Linked DNA regions of Neurospora crassa OR74A. The protein of the gene in region 2 interacts with the protein of the main gene of each other region in a biochemical or structural test. Links are inferred from orthologs where the notes say so. Each region holds a gene or a part of one and is shown on either strand. Other genes may lie near its edges.

The links.
Region 1: of the proteins of stk-4 (region 2) and NCU04348, one has a biochemical effect on the other in vitro, tested with the Saccharomyces cerevisiae proteins (2 studies listed by BioGRID). The link is inferred for Neurospora crassa OR74A from reciprocal best matches to the Saccharomyces cerevisiae genes STE20 and BMS1.

Annotation. Positions count from the first base shown.
Region 1 is NC_026504.1:3,691,304-3,698,845, forward strand, and holds NCU04348 (ribosome biogenesis protein), read left to right. Parts: upstream 1-2,669; 5' UTR 2,670-2,769; coding exon 2,770-2,848; intron 2,849-2,906; coding exon 2,907-2,977; intron 2,978-3,043; coding exon 3,044-5,644; intron 5,645-5,701; coding exon 5,702-6,433; 3' UTR 6,434-6,622; downstream 6,623-7,542. Other genes in the region: stk-58 (mitochondrial pyruvate dehydrogenase kinase), read right to left, coding at 1-203; NCU16822 (hypothetical protein), read right to left, coding at 1,061-1,151, 1,213-1,322, 1,394-1,540; NCU04347 (pyruvate formate lyase activating enzyme), read left to right, coding at 6,925-7,351. UniProt on the Saccharomyces cerevisiae protein: GTPase required for synthesis of 40S ribosomal subunits and for processing the 35S pre-rRNA at sites A0, A1, and A2.
Region 2 is NC_026506.1:2,077,674-2,085,204, reverse strand, and holds the start of stk-4 (serine/threonine-protein kinase ste-20, variant 1), read left to right. Parts: upstream 1-3,594; 5' UTR 3,595-3,618; intron 3,619-3,725; exon of another isoform or gene 3,726-3,802; 5' UTR 3,803-4,385; coding exon 4,386-5,453; intron 5,454-5,513; coding exon 5,514-6,873; intron 6,874-7,018; coding exon 7,019-7,353; intron 7,354-7,481; coding exon 7,482-7,531. Other genes in the region: NCU03895 (hypothetical protein), read right to left, coding at 2,350-2,621, 2,991-3,030, 3,381-3,467. UniProt on the Saccharomyces cerevisiae protein: MAP4K component of the MAPK pathway required for the mating pheromone response, haploid invasive growth and diploid pseudohyphal development. Links the pheromone response G-protein beta gamma subunits to downstream signaling components.

The DNA.
Region 1 (7,542 bases), on a different chromosome or scaffold from region 2:
TCGGCCAGACTCAGCTGATGTAGAGGCTGGTTAGCCAGCCATGGGACTTTGTCCTCTAGCTCATGGCGACTGCTGAGCGGGCGGTCGTAATGGGGTCTCGCGATATTCTGGTTCAGGATGGAATACAGTCTCGGGTAGTTTGAGGAGCTCAAGGCGGCCTTGAGAGGGCTGGGAAACCTCGACGGCCTCGCGATGGATTTCATGTCGGCATGTTGTGCGGTCGCGGGTTTCTGTTACGAGACTGAATTTGGGACTACAACGTACTTCCAATTTTGGTGCAACAAGTACGTAGGTAGGGTCCGGTGGAGAGTGCCGTGTTGCTTCAGTTCGTTGTCATTCGGTGGTGTGTGTGTGTGTGTGTGTGTGTGTGTGTGCGCGCGGGACGGCGATCAGCGCCGCGATGGGATGACATAGGTAGCAGTCCACGCTGAAACAGGGTTATCGTGGTCCAATCGATATGCTAGGCGATAAGGGGCTGCCCACAGGCCGCTTGGAGTAGGTTGGAGCACCTTGAGGACTGGGCTGGGCTGAGGAGGGCTTCCACTTCCACTTAGGTGCTTGTGCTTTGGCTGTGCTTCCCGTTCTGTCTCCTCGGTGCTGTCGGGTCGGTTGCTCTCTCCTCCATCCAGCATGACGCATCCCCATTGCAAGTCTGGACTTCCTGGTTGAACACATCCCTAGGCACAGTCAGTGACACGATTCAAGTCAACATGTGCAAATTGGAAATCTTTCTTTGAATTCATAACAATCATCAAATGGCCGCCTTTATCTATTCCAGTGGAGAGTGTCACTGGAACGACAGCGAAACCGGCAGGTAAGCCCCGGGCCCCCTGTCGCTGTCAACACTATGTAGCTGAGACTAGGTAACCTCCGTCTCGCTGTTACCCCGCGATTGGTGCCCCGCATGAGATCCATCACCAGATCATGCTTCTCTCTCTGAGCAGGCGACTGTAGTCTCATCCTATACCTGTCCTTCCCGGGCTAATGTCATATCATTCCCAATGTCGTTGTCCTTGACGCCTAATGCTTCAAACATGCTGTTGAAATCGGATGCGCTCTTTTACTGGGTCCTGACCTCCTGGTCGGCCTCGACGCCCTTGACGTGCTCGTGGTTCTCAAGGGTGAAAACAGCGCCCTCGGGATAGATGGCCCTGCAGTTAAAAAGAGAGGGTCAGCTCTTGTGTCTAATTCTGAAGACGGAGGCTGTCATACTGGAAGGCCTTGATGAGGGTGTACTCGTGGCCAATCTTGCCGCCCTGCGCCTTGACGTCCTCCTTGGTCTTGGCGATCTCCTCATCGGTAGCGGTGTCCTTGAGGGTAACCTGACATAGTGAACAGCTGAGGTCAATAAGAGTCTTATGGGTAGTGTGAGGCGCGAGTGCGGCATGCTTACAATGTAAGAAGGCATCTTTGCGGTGGTGGGAGGGTTGTTTGGTGAAAAAGTTGGTGTTGCTGTATGGAAATGTTGAAACAGAGTGTAGTGGTTGGTCGTGAACTTGGAAAGTCGGTACTGCGTCTCGAGGAGCGGACGAAGGAGCATCTTATACGTGATCAAGGGACATGCACAAGTGGACTCGAACTACCTACACCACAGATGCACATGTGCCAGATAAGCGGCAATCATGCTAGATTGGTCTTCCTGCCACGCCGTCAGGAGCCACAAGTGACGCGGCACCAGGGACATTAGCATTCTCTGGAGCGGATGATACGTCATATCCACTTGGACCAGACTTGCTGCGCCTACCGCAGGTCGTTTTGTGACTTGTGACACTCTTTTGGCTGCCAGGCGTGGGGATGACAGAGACAATCCTTCATCTCAGCGCCCAACAAGACAGCCTTGCACACAACCACCTAACGAGCGCTTAGGCGCGGGCTGAGACACTAGGAGTGGTGTGGGAGGATGGATCCAGTCATCTTCCGACCATCTTGCTACTCAGGATCTTGGATGTTGTTACCTATCTGTTGTAACTCTGAGCCTAGCCTATACGCCATACCCTCCTCATGTGTGTAAATCGGAAACCCTCCTTCCCGCGACAATTACGTATGTAACCCTCAAAATGGTGTGTTATGCAAGAAGGGCTGCCATGGCCCATGGCTGTTTGACTTTGCGGGCCCATTCGACGTTCCTATGTCGAGGCCGCAAGTTATCAACTATGATAGCTCTTTCATGGTCTCGACTCTTCTTCAACCGTTTGTTGGGAGGTCCCTGAACAATCCAATGCATTTACATAGCGTGGTATGTAGTCTCCACCAGTGAGGGAGGGCTTGGTACAATAGAGGTAGTTAGGTTGGTCATGCTCAAGACAGCACAAGATATCTCAACCACCCAACGGAATATCTTCGTATAAACCTTTGGAAATAGTTACTCCGAAGACACAGCTCACCCAGTAGTTGGTTGAAGATAAGAAACGGGACTATACGTTGGGTTCGTCTGTTGTTCAAGGTTCCAAGACTTGAAGGTCGGGACTGCCTGTCAGGGTCTCCAACTCCCCGCATGCTGCCACTGCTTAGTAGCGGGTGCTGCCGGGGATAGGTCCCGTCGCCTGCCGCGGAAAGAGGTCCCACTATTCAGGTATCTTATCGCTTATCGATAAACGTCTTGGCGTTCCATCAGAAAACCGACTATCCAAAAAATTTGGACAGCAGCTTTTTGGCAGCAGTTGAATTGGGAGCGAGTCCCGTCGCATTTCCACTTGCACCTGTTTTCGCGACCGCGTGTCCATCTATACTACTGAACTTGCAAAAAGTTCACGGACACCAGCCGTAATCATGGCCGACGTCCAAGCCCACAAACCCCATCGGGCTTCCAAGAAGTCCAAGGAGAAGGGGGCCTCCAAGCATACAGGTGGTATGTGTATTCAATTGTTTCTTTTATCGTTACTATCCACAGCTGACCGTCCCTGCAGAAAAGAACCCCAAGGCCTTTGCCTTCTCCAATCCTGGTAAACTCGCCAGACAAGCCGCCAGATCCCACGATGTAAGAAGACATTCCCTCGCTCCATCCTTCAATGACTTCTTATAATTAACTGGTCTTGTTCCGCAGATCAAAGAGAAGCGTCTTCATGTCCCCGCCGTCGACCGTCTCCCCGATGAACCACCCCCAAGACTCGTCGCCATCGTAGGCCCCCCTGGCGTAGGAAAGACCACCCTTCTCAAGTCTTTCATCCGACGATATGCAAAGGAAACCATCCAAGATCCGGTGGGACCTATCACGGTCGTCACCTCCAAGAAGCAGAGATTGACCTTCATCGAATGCGCCAACGAACTCGAGGCCATGGTCGATATTGCAAAGGTCGCCGACATTGTCCTTCTCATGATCGATGGAAACTTCGGCTTCGAAATGGAGACTATGGAGTTCCTTAACGTTCTTGCCGCCACGGGTATGCCCGGCAACGTCTTTGGCATCCTCACCCATCTCGACCTGTTCAGGAAGCCCCAAGCACTAAAGGAGGCAAAGAAGAGGTTAAAGCACAGACTTTGGAGCGAACTCTACCAGGGTGCCCACCTTTTCTACCTTTCCGGTGTCCTGAACGGCCGTTACCCCGATCGCGAAATCCACAACCTCTCCCGCTTCTTGTCCGTCATGAAGAACCCCCGCCCGCTCGTTTGGCGCAACTCCCACCCTTACACCATCATCGACAACTACCGCGATGTCACCCACCCCACCCAGATTGAAGAAGACGAGAAATGCGACCGAACGATTGAACTCTCCGGTTACCTCCGTGGTACAAACTTTTCCGCCGAGGGCCAAAGGGTACATATTGCTGGTTTGGGCGACTTTACAATCAAAGAGATGGAACAATTGCCGGATCCTTGCCCGACTCCCGCTATGGAACAAGCGCTGGCCAAGGCCAGTGGCAAGACTGGCAGAAGGCGACTCGACGAGAAGGACAAAAAGCTCTGGGCGCCCATGGCGGACCGCAGCGGCTTGAAAATTACTGGCGATCACATCGTTATCACTAGGGAGAACGGCTTCACATTTGACAAGGATGCTGTGGGCATTGAGCGCGGCGAAGGAGAACAGCTCATCATCGACCTGCAGAACGAGAGGCGTCTCCTTGGTCAAACGGACGAGGGTGTCAAGCTGTTCGCGAGCGGACAAAAGATCAACCAGCTCCCTGTCGAGGACGAGGATGTCGGAAACACTGGCCGCAAGAGCCGAAGAACCGCCAGACTTGCCGATGGTGAGAGTGGTGAACCGCCAGAGGACGAAGGCTTCGAAAGCGGAGAGGAAGATGAGATGGAGGATGGATCCGATGTCGAGTCCGAGTTCAACGAGATGAAGCTGGGCAAGATGTTCAGGAAACAGACCGACGACGACCAAGAAGAGGACATCGCCTTTGCCGACAGTGACTCCGACCTTGGTTCGATATCCGGCGATGAAGACCAAGGATCCGACTTTGACGATGACGAGGACGACGAGGAGGATCCTGAGCTCAAGTGGAAGGACAACATAATGGAGCGCGCAAGTCAGATACACGGAAGGAGGAAACCCTTCCGCGCTGTCGACTTGGCGAGGTACATGTACGACGAGTCGATGGCCCCCACAGAAGCCATCAAGAAATGGGCCGGTCAAGACGACGAGGAGGAGATCGAAGAGAATATCGAAGAGGACGACGAAACCTTCTTCCGGAGGACTGGCAAGGAGGACAAGGAGGACTCTTGGGAGGATCGCATGATTCCCAAGTTCGACTACGAACAACTAGAAGCCAAGTGGTCTGACAAGGACGCTGTCGAGGCTCTCCGAAACAAGTTCGCCACCGCCAACCTACTTGACGACGCTGAGGGCGAGGGCGAAGATGGTTCGGATTTCGAGGGTCTTGATGACGAGGACGACGATGATGAAGGTGACGGTGCCTTTGAGGATCTCGAGACAGGGGAGAAGCACGGCGCTGACGACGAGGATGAAGAAGAAGAAGAGGAGGAAGGAGAGGAGCAGCCAGCAGAAAGCCTTGAAGCCGAGCGTGAGAAGAACGCCCGCCGAAAGGAGGAGCTCAAGCTTCGCTTCGAAGAGGAAGATCGTGAAGGTTTCAAGAACGACAAGGCGATTGCCAGGCGAGAAGGTGGCAATGATGACGAGTTTGGAGAGGACGACTGGTATGATGCTCAAAAGGCCATGATCCAGAAGCAGCTCGACATCAACAAGGCGGAATACGAGAACCTTGATGAAAGCCAAAGGATCGCTGTCGAAGGCTACAAGGCCGGCAAGTACGCCAGGATGGTCATCGAGGGTGTCCCAGCAGAGTTCGTCAAGAACTTTAAGCCACGGATGCCGATCGTTGTCGGAGGTCTTTCGGCCACGGAGGACAGATTCGGCTTTGTGCAAGTTAGAATCAAGAAGCACCGTTGGCACAAGAAGATTCTCAAGACGGGAGATCCCCTCATCTTCTCCCTCGGCTGGCGCCGATTCCAGTCTCTTCCCATCTACTCCATCTCTGATTCTCGGACGAGAAACAGGATGCTGAAGTATACTCCGGAGCACATGCACTGCTTCGGTACCTTCTACGGCCCCCTGTGTGCCCCCAATACGGGTTTCACATGTTTCCAGTCCTTCTCTTCCGCCAACCCCGGGTTCCGTATTGCGGCTACCGGTACAGTATTGAGCGTAGACGAGTCTACCGAGATCGTCAAGAAGCTCAAGCTGGTATGTTACCCTCCGCCCTATTGTGTATGGTGTTTTTGATGCTAACAACTCGTCCAGACCGGTACACCATACAAGATCTTCAAGAACACGGCCTTCATCAAGGACATGTTCAATTCGGCGCTGGAAATCGCCAAGTTCGAGGGTGCCTCCATCAAGACCGTCTCGGGTATCCGCGGTCAGATCAAGCGCGCACTCGCCAAGCCCGACGGCCACTTCCGTGCCACCTTTGAGGACAAGATCCTGCTCAGCGACATCGTCTTCTTGCGCGCGTGGTACCCCATCAAGCCGCACCGTTTCTACAACCCGGCCACCAACTTGGTCGGCTGGCAGAGCATGCGTCTCACGGGTGAGGTCCGCCGCGACCAGAACATCGCCACGCCGCTCGACAAGAACTCGCAGTACCGCAAGATCGAGCGCGAGACCCGTCGGTTCAACCCTCTCCGTGTGCCGCGTGCCCTCGCGGCCGAGCTGCCCTTCAAGTCGCAGATCATCCAGACCAAGAAGCAGAAAAAGGAGACGTACATGCAGAAGCGTGCGGTCGTCGTCCGCGGCGAGGAGAAGAAGGCGCGCGATCTCATGCAGAAACTCACAACGATCCGCAAGGAAGTGGTGGAGAAGCGCAAGGCCAAGAAGGCGGAGCAGCACGAGAAGTACAAGAAGAGCCTGGAAGAGGCCGAGGAGCGGATCAAGAGCAAGGAGAAGAGGGAGAAGAAGGCGTATTGGGAAAGGGAGGGTAAGAAGCGTGGTCCTAGCGGCGACCAGGGTGGTGGTGGTAAGAGGAGGAGGTAAATGTTGTTGTCGTCAAGGGGAAAATAATTGCTTGTTTGTTTCAGTCATCATTGTCATCATCATCACCTGGGTTCACTTTTGGGAGTACTATTACTACTGTATATAGAGAGGCATCCACATCCATCGATTCATACCCGGGAAAGAAATTGTTTCTTTTTTGCTAGCACGAGCGAAAAGCATTGGTTGAGATATTCGCTAGTTGGTTGGTGGGTGGGTGGGTGGTCCTAGAAGTACTTGTTCGTGTGTGGGTGTGTTTTAGGGGTTGCATTGTAGCACAAATTGTTAGTGCATACTTGCCACTTGCCTCTGTTGCGGATTGCTCGATTTGGTTCCACTGTTCACGACGACAACCTCATAGTTTTTCGTTTCACGGCAGCAACACTCCCTCGCCTTTTTCCCCAATCATCTATCTGCCCTATTCGAGCGTTCACTCAATTCTCAGTCACATTCTCGGGAACACACAGCACGATTTGCCCAACAACCAACACAATATGCTCACCTTGACCACTCGTCAATCCTTACATCACCACCTCCCTTCATCACTTCCCCGAGTCCTCCTCCTACCCATCATAGCCACCAAACGTCTCCTATCCTACACAGCCAAGACATCATCTCTGTCCTTGAAAGCAACTCCCATCACCACCCGCAAACTCCTTCTTTCTCCATCCCCAAACATCAACAACCTCCAGAAAAGATCTCTCCACCTAGCACCTCCCTTCCTCCTCGACGACTACACGCCCCGCTACCTCCAATTATCTGAAGTCGACGCGGCCAAGAAACGATCGCAAGCATATGCTCACCTGGCCAAGTGCAACTTGTGTCCAAGGAAGTGTGGGGTGAATAGATTTGAGAAGACAGGGTGGTGCTTGATTGGGGAGAAGGCGAAGGTGAATGTTATTGCGCCGCATTTTGGGGAAGGTGAGTTTTTTTTTTTGTTTTATTGTTGATTGGTATTCTTCTTCTTCTTCTTCTTCTTCTGTTATCTACGTATTTTGATCTGTGTTTTCCCATTACCGTTTGTTTGGTTTTTTGGATGTTTGGCTATCAGGGTCCCGGAGGGTCTGGAGGGAGGACCTGGTGGCGGATGCGGATGCGGGAGCGGATAATGT
Region 2 (7,531 bases):
CACAGTCCGATGTAGATGGTTACCCTGGACGGTATCTTTGAGGATCTTCACGGGCGGGCATTCTTCGGTAGGGGCGGGGGCCTGAGAGAACGAGAAGATAAAGACCGTCTCGGCAGGCCCGAGGAAATAGCATGTTTAGGCAATGATTGAAGTATAACACGACCCCTTGAGTCGGCTTTGATGTCGGATTATCGTTGTAAAAGTCAAGGCCGGAGACGAACTTAGCCAGGGATGAGGTTCTCGGGGATTATCACGCCTCCTGCAATCTTCTCGTCCGCGATCCCTTGTTCATATCGATCGAAGCAGGCTTCTGTCAGGTTTCTGGAAGACAAGCCCAGATGCATGGTGCGCGGCACGGCAAAAAGGGTGCCGGGTCTGTTTCCGCACGCAGGAGGCGAATGGTCCCGATCTTAGATGCGGCTCGTGTAGTGTAGGTATATAGAGACGAAAGGTGTCCAGTGAGCGAGGTCCAGAGTCCTCGGCAGAAGAAGGGCCATCCATGGCATCGTGGTATCCCAAGCATGGAGCTCGACATAGGTCCTACAGAAAAAGGTACCTACGTACAGTATGTAGGCATATCAACCTACCTACAAGCACCCTGCAGAAACGCCTTTTGCGTAGGTACCACACCGACAGTTGCAGCACACATGCCGTTCGGGCTCGAGGTGGTATCTGCATGACAAGCGCGATAGGTGCTAGGCTAAAGACACAGGCTCAGGTAGTTACCTACTTACTGTGAATGAAGCAGGTACATCCTCAATGACTGTCTTGAAAGATGAGTGGATCTAACAACAAGCCTTGTCGATGAGTATCTGGCTGAACGTGTGTTGCGAATGGTGACGATTCGCAAAACGAGGTATTGTATAAACTTGGCGCTCCATGGACTAGTAGGCTGTCGGGTTGTCTCTCTCTTGCTTAGCTACGGCTGCTGTAAAATATGCTCGTCTCCCTTTGCTCTTCGATAGAAGGGTGACAGAAAACGGCAAAGACTCGTATAGCGAGTTGCGCCTACGGCATTGTGCACCTCATGATGAGACCTGTCACCGCGTCCAGATTTCATCTGCCAACAAGGTTTTGGAGAAGGAGAGAAGGAGAAACCTCGTTTCACCGAGGAGACACACACAGACAAGCTTTGGATCGTGCTTATATGTTGGCTTACTTGTACGTGGAGGTTTTGTTCGTTTGTTGTGCAATCAAAGAATTCTGTATGGCTGGCTGGGTGCAGTGGTGGGTGCGTGGTCAACTTGCCCGCTAGAAAGCGTAAGACGAAGCCGATCTTGTTATGGAGGCTCTGGTGTTTTCAAAGTGCGAGGCGCTAACCATTTCTATCAAGTTCTCGTAGTATTGCCGTCCTCCGCAGCGTTCTCTCAAACAGTTTCGTCGGATACCTACCATTTAAGGCATGATTCGCCGTCAACCTTGCGGTATTCCAATCTCCTCAAGCTGAGGTGGTGTGTAGTTCAACGCATAAGCAGTAGCAGACAAGCTGTTAGCAAAGAGCGGCTTTGTGATCCAGCATGCATTGTCCAACGTCCGAGCGCAACAAGTTGACAAGAAGGCGACCACGGGGCCTCATAATGTGGTTGCCCAAACCAGAAAATCATCACCGTCTTGCTTGAGTTGCTGGCTTAACCTCTCACACGACTAGCCTGGATAGATCGCATCACGAAACCTGGCGCTATTCCCAATTACATGGAATAGGGATCTGGAGAGCGTGAGTGACTAGCCTGCCGTTCACATCTGGCGGCCAATCGGTAGCAAATGAGTGGCATTCACGACGAACTGTACGTAGCTATACGGCGAAGCAGGAGCCGGCGTTTGCTGGGCTGTCAAACCCATCCGCATACCACAGACCGTGTCCCACAATCTTGCGAAACACAAGGCTCACTGCAGAGTGCAGACACTACAGGGCCAGGCCAGGAGCGCTTGTCCAAGGACTGCTGAGTCTCGATATCGAAGGAAGTTGATCAACTCCTTAAGGACAACATTTCGCGCGCGGAAGGCCTGCTGCGGCCCCACAGGCCGGCCGGCCTTTGGTTTTCACAACGCTCATCGCTTCAAGCCGGTGCGCCCCAGTCGTCCCAGACATGACGCACTGGCCGGGCCACAGAGGCAAGAAAAACGAGTGGACGCCAAACGCCAGGGAATGGGACGCGGAAATCCAAGGACCAAGACGGGCGTTTCGACTCCGCCCGTTTGGCCATATCTACCCCACAAGCCCGGGGCATTTAATCACGGTTGCCGAGAAGCTGCCCCGTATCTGATACGTACCGAGGGGCTAAATCTTGGCTGATGAGCGTGATGGCGATGTGTCGATACGAAATGGTTTCCCGTTTTCAAAAAGTTCAATTATGCGAATACATAGCACGGTCCTATCGCGCCGAGCTTGAACACGCGAGGAGCATGAGCACCTCCCACCTCACTGTGCGCAGGAGGAGGGGTTGTCCCGGCCGTGATTGACGCGGGCAAGCAGAGATTGCGGCTGTGTTGTATGTAGATAGAGGTACTGTACTGACTGTCGAACAGAGACCACAGAACACCGCAGAGGTTGCACGCAGACTCGTTCTCCAAGATGCCAGGCCAGATCAGGATCGGAACCTGGAATGCCCTCGAGTTGACGTCTACATTGGAATCGAATCAAGCTGACGGCGTCAAGCAAGGTCCAGAGCGGGTGTTGGAAGCAACCTCGACGACATGATGCCAAAGTCAAGAGGAAACGAGGGGAAAAGGTTGAAGAGGTGGTGGCGCCCTGGTCCCTGTCAGTCTCCCGTGCAGAGTGTCCCCGCCATCGCCGTTCCGTTGCCGCCGGCGGTTGAACAAAAAAGTGGGCAGGTGAACTGATGGAACTTGAAGCCTCTCACAGGCGCCTTTTCGTGGTGTTGTAGTGGTAGCAGTGGCAGCAGTGGTCGAAAGTGGCTCTCTTCAACTGCAATGGCACTGCACCAGGCAGTCTAGGTAGTCCCACTCTCCCGTCCCCCACCCGTCCCCACCTGCCCTGTCTGGCAGAGGGGACGGGACTGAGATGTAGAACTAGAGGTAGGTAGTGTAGTGTAGTGTAGACTTCAGTTGCTTCCCAGAAGGCCGGACACACTCCCGCTGTCTGTCTAGAAGCCGAAAAGTGCATGTGCTGCCCTCTTGTTGTGCGGTGCAGTGTGCAGATGCAGCAAGCAACAGCCGCCCGACAGCAGTCACGAAGCATTCGAAGGGAATAGGTAGACCTAAGACCGACACAACCTCAATCATAGTATGCTTCCCTGAACTTTGCGTCCGGGCTTCCTTGTCTCCAATTCTCATTTGGCATCTGCAGGCCGAGTGTCCCCGCCCCGCCCGCCGTCCGACCGTCAGCAACACCGGACGACAGCCAGACAACTTCAGACGACAGCAGCAGTAGCAGCCCAGCAGTAGCAGCCCAGCAGTAGCAGGAGCAGCAGCAGCATCGCCGCGCATAGCCGACACCCGTCCGCCATCTTGGGTTCACTCATTTGAGCCCGGCCAACAATAAGTCGATAACGAGTTTGACGAGATTCGTAAAATTCGACAACCCACAAACTGTCAACGGCCACACATCGACACCGACTCGTACAAAGTTGGACCACCATTGGACACACCCTGCCCAAAGCAAGCAATCCCCCGCGCCGCCCAACCAGTCACCCACTTTATCCAAGTCATCCAATCCCTCTCCAGTCTGCGCACTTGTAGCACCAGCACCATACTGCTTGGACTATGCCCGACCTTGCCCTGCTCAATCATCAATTGGGTGCCGTCCACAAGCTAACGTCTGCTCACCACTCTCAAAAGGTAGCCGGACCCTGACCTTCTGATAAGCATACTAAAAAGCTTCGAGATCCATCAAAAATAAATCGTCATTCAAATAGTCTAGAGAAAACAAGCGGAAAAGTGAAAAGCGCCAGCCTAGTCCGAGTTCCCACACAGCAGTAACAACAGAAAGCATCACCCCTTCTTCAACGTACCCAGTCCCCGCCAAACCCAGCATCGCCGGCGGTCCGGGGTCTGTCTTTTTTTCCTACCTTGTACCTTCAACTTGTACACAATCCCACCACAAACCAAAGCGCAATTTTCGACCGGCATCAAGCTTCCAGGATCCCGTCCCCCTTCAATTGTCGACTTTTTTGCTCTTGTCCGTTCTGTGTCTGTGATTCTGGCCTGCCAACTTATCCCGCCCGCCTCAATAACTGCTGCCACCCCCCCAATTCCCGTCTCTTCTCCCAAGTCTCGCCTTCTTTTGGTTGACCCGGCCCCCAGCCAAACCGTCCGCCAGTACCGTACGTTGAACATCTTCCTTGTCTTTTCTTATTCTTAGTTACCCCATCTCGTAGCCCTCGTGCCCTTCCCTACGCTAGGGTTGGGTTTCTCTCGCAGTGACCATGGACGGCCAGCTCTCCCTCCTCTCGCCCACCTCGTCCTCCTCCACTTCGCATAGTCGCAAAAGACTCACAAAGAAGCAACGCCCGCCATCCGCAAATCACCGCACTAGCTCCTCTTTCAATGTCGAATCGCTCCGTATTGACGCCCAATCTCTAGACAGCAAACGGAGCGCCTCCAGCCTGCGCCAGGGCCCCAACTGCAACCAAAGCCCATCTCTGGCCAGGACCGTATCCGTCCCAGTCTCCGTCCCTTCAAACGCGCCCGCCCACACCAAAGCCAGCGACCTCTCTCTGCCACGCTCCCACACCACTCGCTCTCAATCCGCAAATCGCCCTTACAATCCGACGCAGACAATACCAACCAACCGCTTTATCCTCTCGCCGGCCTCATCGTCGCAACCCCAAACTCAATCGCCGCCTTATCCCAGCGCTGTTGCCAGCACCACCGTTACTAGCTCCAGGAACAAGGACACATCCAAGCAGTACGACCCACTAGACTCCTGCATTGGATCCTTCGATCAAAACAAATTATCCACGGATGAACTGATTGGCGCTCCATTCGACGGCAACGCCATTCTCAGTCGAATCGAGGCAACAAAATTATCAGCCGCGCCCGCGCCCACGTCCACGACCACGATTGCGCACTCCAACAACATTTCTCCTCGTCGTGTCGCTCCTCCTCCTCCTCCTCCCCCGCCTGCTCTATCGCGCTCAAACACGGACTCCAAGGCTGCGAGATCTTCAAAACCGTCAAAGTCGCCCAAATCCACCATATCAAACAAGACCATGGGCGCATCTTCATTCCGCCACTCGGCGAGTTTCTCGTCGGCTGAACAACTTCCGCCAAGCGAAAAGCCGTCCAAGTCAGAGAGCAGCTCTTCGAGTAACAAGAGACACTCCGGTGATGGTAAAGAGTCCAGGGTGCCCGGTATGCTAAGGAAGAAGTCGGGCTTCTCCGGCTTCATGAACAGCTTAGTTGGGTCTCCGAAAAAGCCATTGATTTCGGCGCCAGAGAACCCCGTTCACGTCACACACGTCGGATATGATAGCAATACTGGCCAGTTCACGGTATGTTGCCATGCCATGTCAACTAGTCTGAATGTTATGGATGGACTAATACGTTGATAGGGTTTGCCAAAAGAGTGGCAGCGTTTGATAAGCGAGAGTGGAATCACTGAGAAGGACAGAAGAGAACACCCACAAATACTGGTCGATGTCCTCACATTTTACAAGGAGACAACCGAGAAGCCACAGGAAGATCAACAGCTAGAGAAGTTCCACGATGCACGAGCGACAGATTTTCGCAGCCCGCCCGTGACCGGCACCGCTCCGCTCGTACTGCAAACAGGCGTTGGCTACGCTCATGGTCCCATGTCGCCAATGATTAGTCCACCCGCTAGTCCTAGGTTTCCTCAAGTTGGTCATGAGGGCAGCTTTGAGAACCCCCGTGCGCCGCCGCCGGTTCCCAAGGGCCCTGGCCCTCTTCCAGCAAAGGATATCAACTTGATCCCCAGCAGACCGGCACCGAAGCCACCAGCAATATCCACACGACCGCTGGTGCCGCCAGCCTCATTGCCAGCCAAGGATTCAGGAATTGGCATGCCACCGCCCGGTGATGAGGCTCCGATGCCGTACCTCCCTCCCAAGGATAATGTCCAGCATATGTACCAGGAGGAGCACAGGAACAGGTCCAGATCGAATTCCCGGACAAACGGCGCTGCCCCGTTCTCTCCCGTGCAGGCGTCCCCACTGCATCCGATCGCCACGGCGAACCAGACTGCGGCTTATCAGCAGCAATTGTTGCAACACCAGCAAGAACAGGCCATGGCCCAAGCCCAGGCAGCAATGAGCGGTCAACTGAGCCGAGCTGCAAGCAAGAGACAACAACCAACTCCGCCCACCTCACAACACCAACACCCCCGGCAGCCAGACATCAATGGGGCTCCTCGTATGCCACAGACTCAGGGGGCGGCTCCCCAAGCTAGCGCGAGACCCCGTCACAGACCGCGGCAAAGTAACGCGATTGATGTCGTGGCTTCCCTAAAGAGGATATGCTCCGACGGGGATCCGAGAGAGATTTATCGTGGGTTTACCAAAATTGGTCAGGGTGCCTCTGGTGGTGTGTATACTGGCCATGAAAGGGGAAGCAACAGGCTGGTGGCTATCAAGCAGATGAACCTTGAGCAACAGCCAAAGAAGGATCTCATCATCAATGAGATTTTGGTTATGAAGGAGAGCTCACACCCCAATATTGTCAACTTTATTGACAGTTACCTATGTGCTGGGGAATTGTGGGTAGTCATGGAATACATGGAGGGTGGTAGCTTGACGGATGTTGTCACGTTCAACATCATGACTGAAGGGCAGATCGCGTCAGTTTGCCGAGAAACCCTCAGAGGCCTTCAACATCTGCACTCCAAGGGCGTCATACACAGAGATATCAAGTCAGACAACATTCTCCTTAGCATGGAAGGCAATATCAAGCTCAGTAAGTTTTCCCCTTCGGGCTTTTTGGGCAGTCTCCGAAAGTTCAAACTTTTTGAGCATTTTCCTGTTCATTTTCCCACCATCTTCAACCCCCAACGCCCATCTGGTGCTGTGACCCGATTCTAACCCTTGTTCTTCCACCATAGCCGATTTTGGATTCTGTGCTACAATCAACGAAGCTCAAAGTAAGCGTACGACAATGGTCGGCACGCCTTATTGGATGGCGCCCGAGGTTGTGACACGTAAAGAGTACGGCCGCAAGGTGGATATCTGGTCATTGGGCATCATGGCCATCGAGATGATTGAAGGAGAGCCTCCCTACCTGACCGAGTCGCCTCTTCGAGCGCTTTGGCTCATTGCGACCAACGGCACGCCGCACATCAAGGATGAGCAGTCACTCTCACCAGTTTTCCGCGACTTCCTCTACTTTGCCCTCAAGGTGGACCCGGAGAAGAGGGCCAGCGCTCATGATCTACTAAGGGTAAGTCTTGGTTCGCCCCTGCATTTTGAATGGCCCTCTGTTTGCGGCTCTTCACCTGCTACGTTACGCTACCAGGCTCAAGGAGATGGTGATATTTCCGCCGGGCACCGAGCTAACTCTTGTAACAGCACGACTTCATGAACAAGTGCGTCGACCTATCAACACTGGCGCCCCTTGT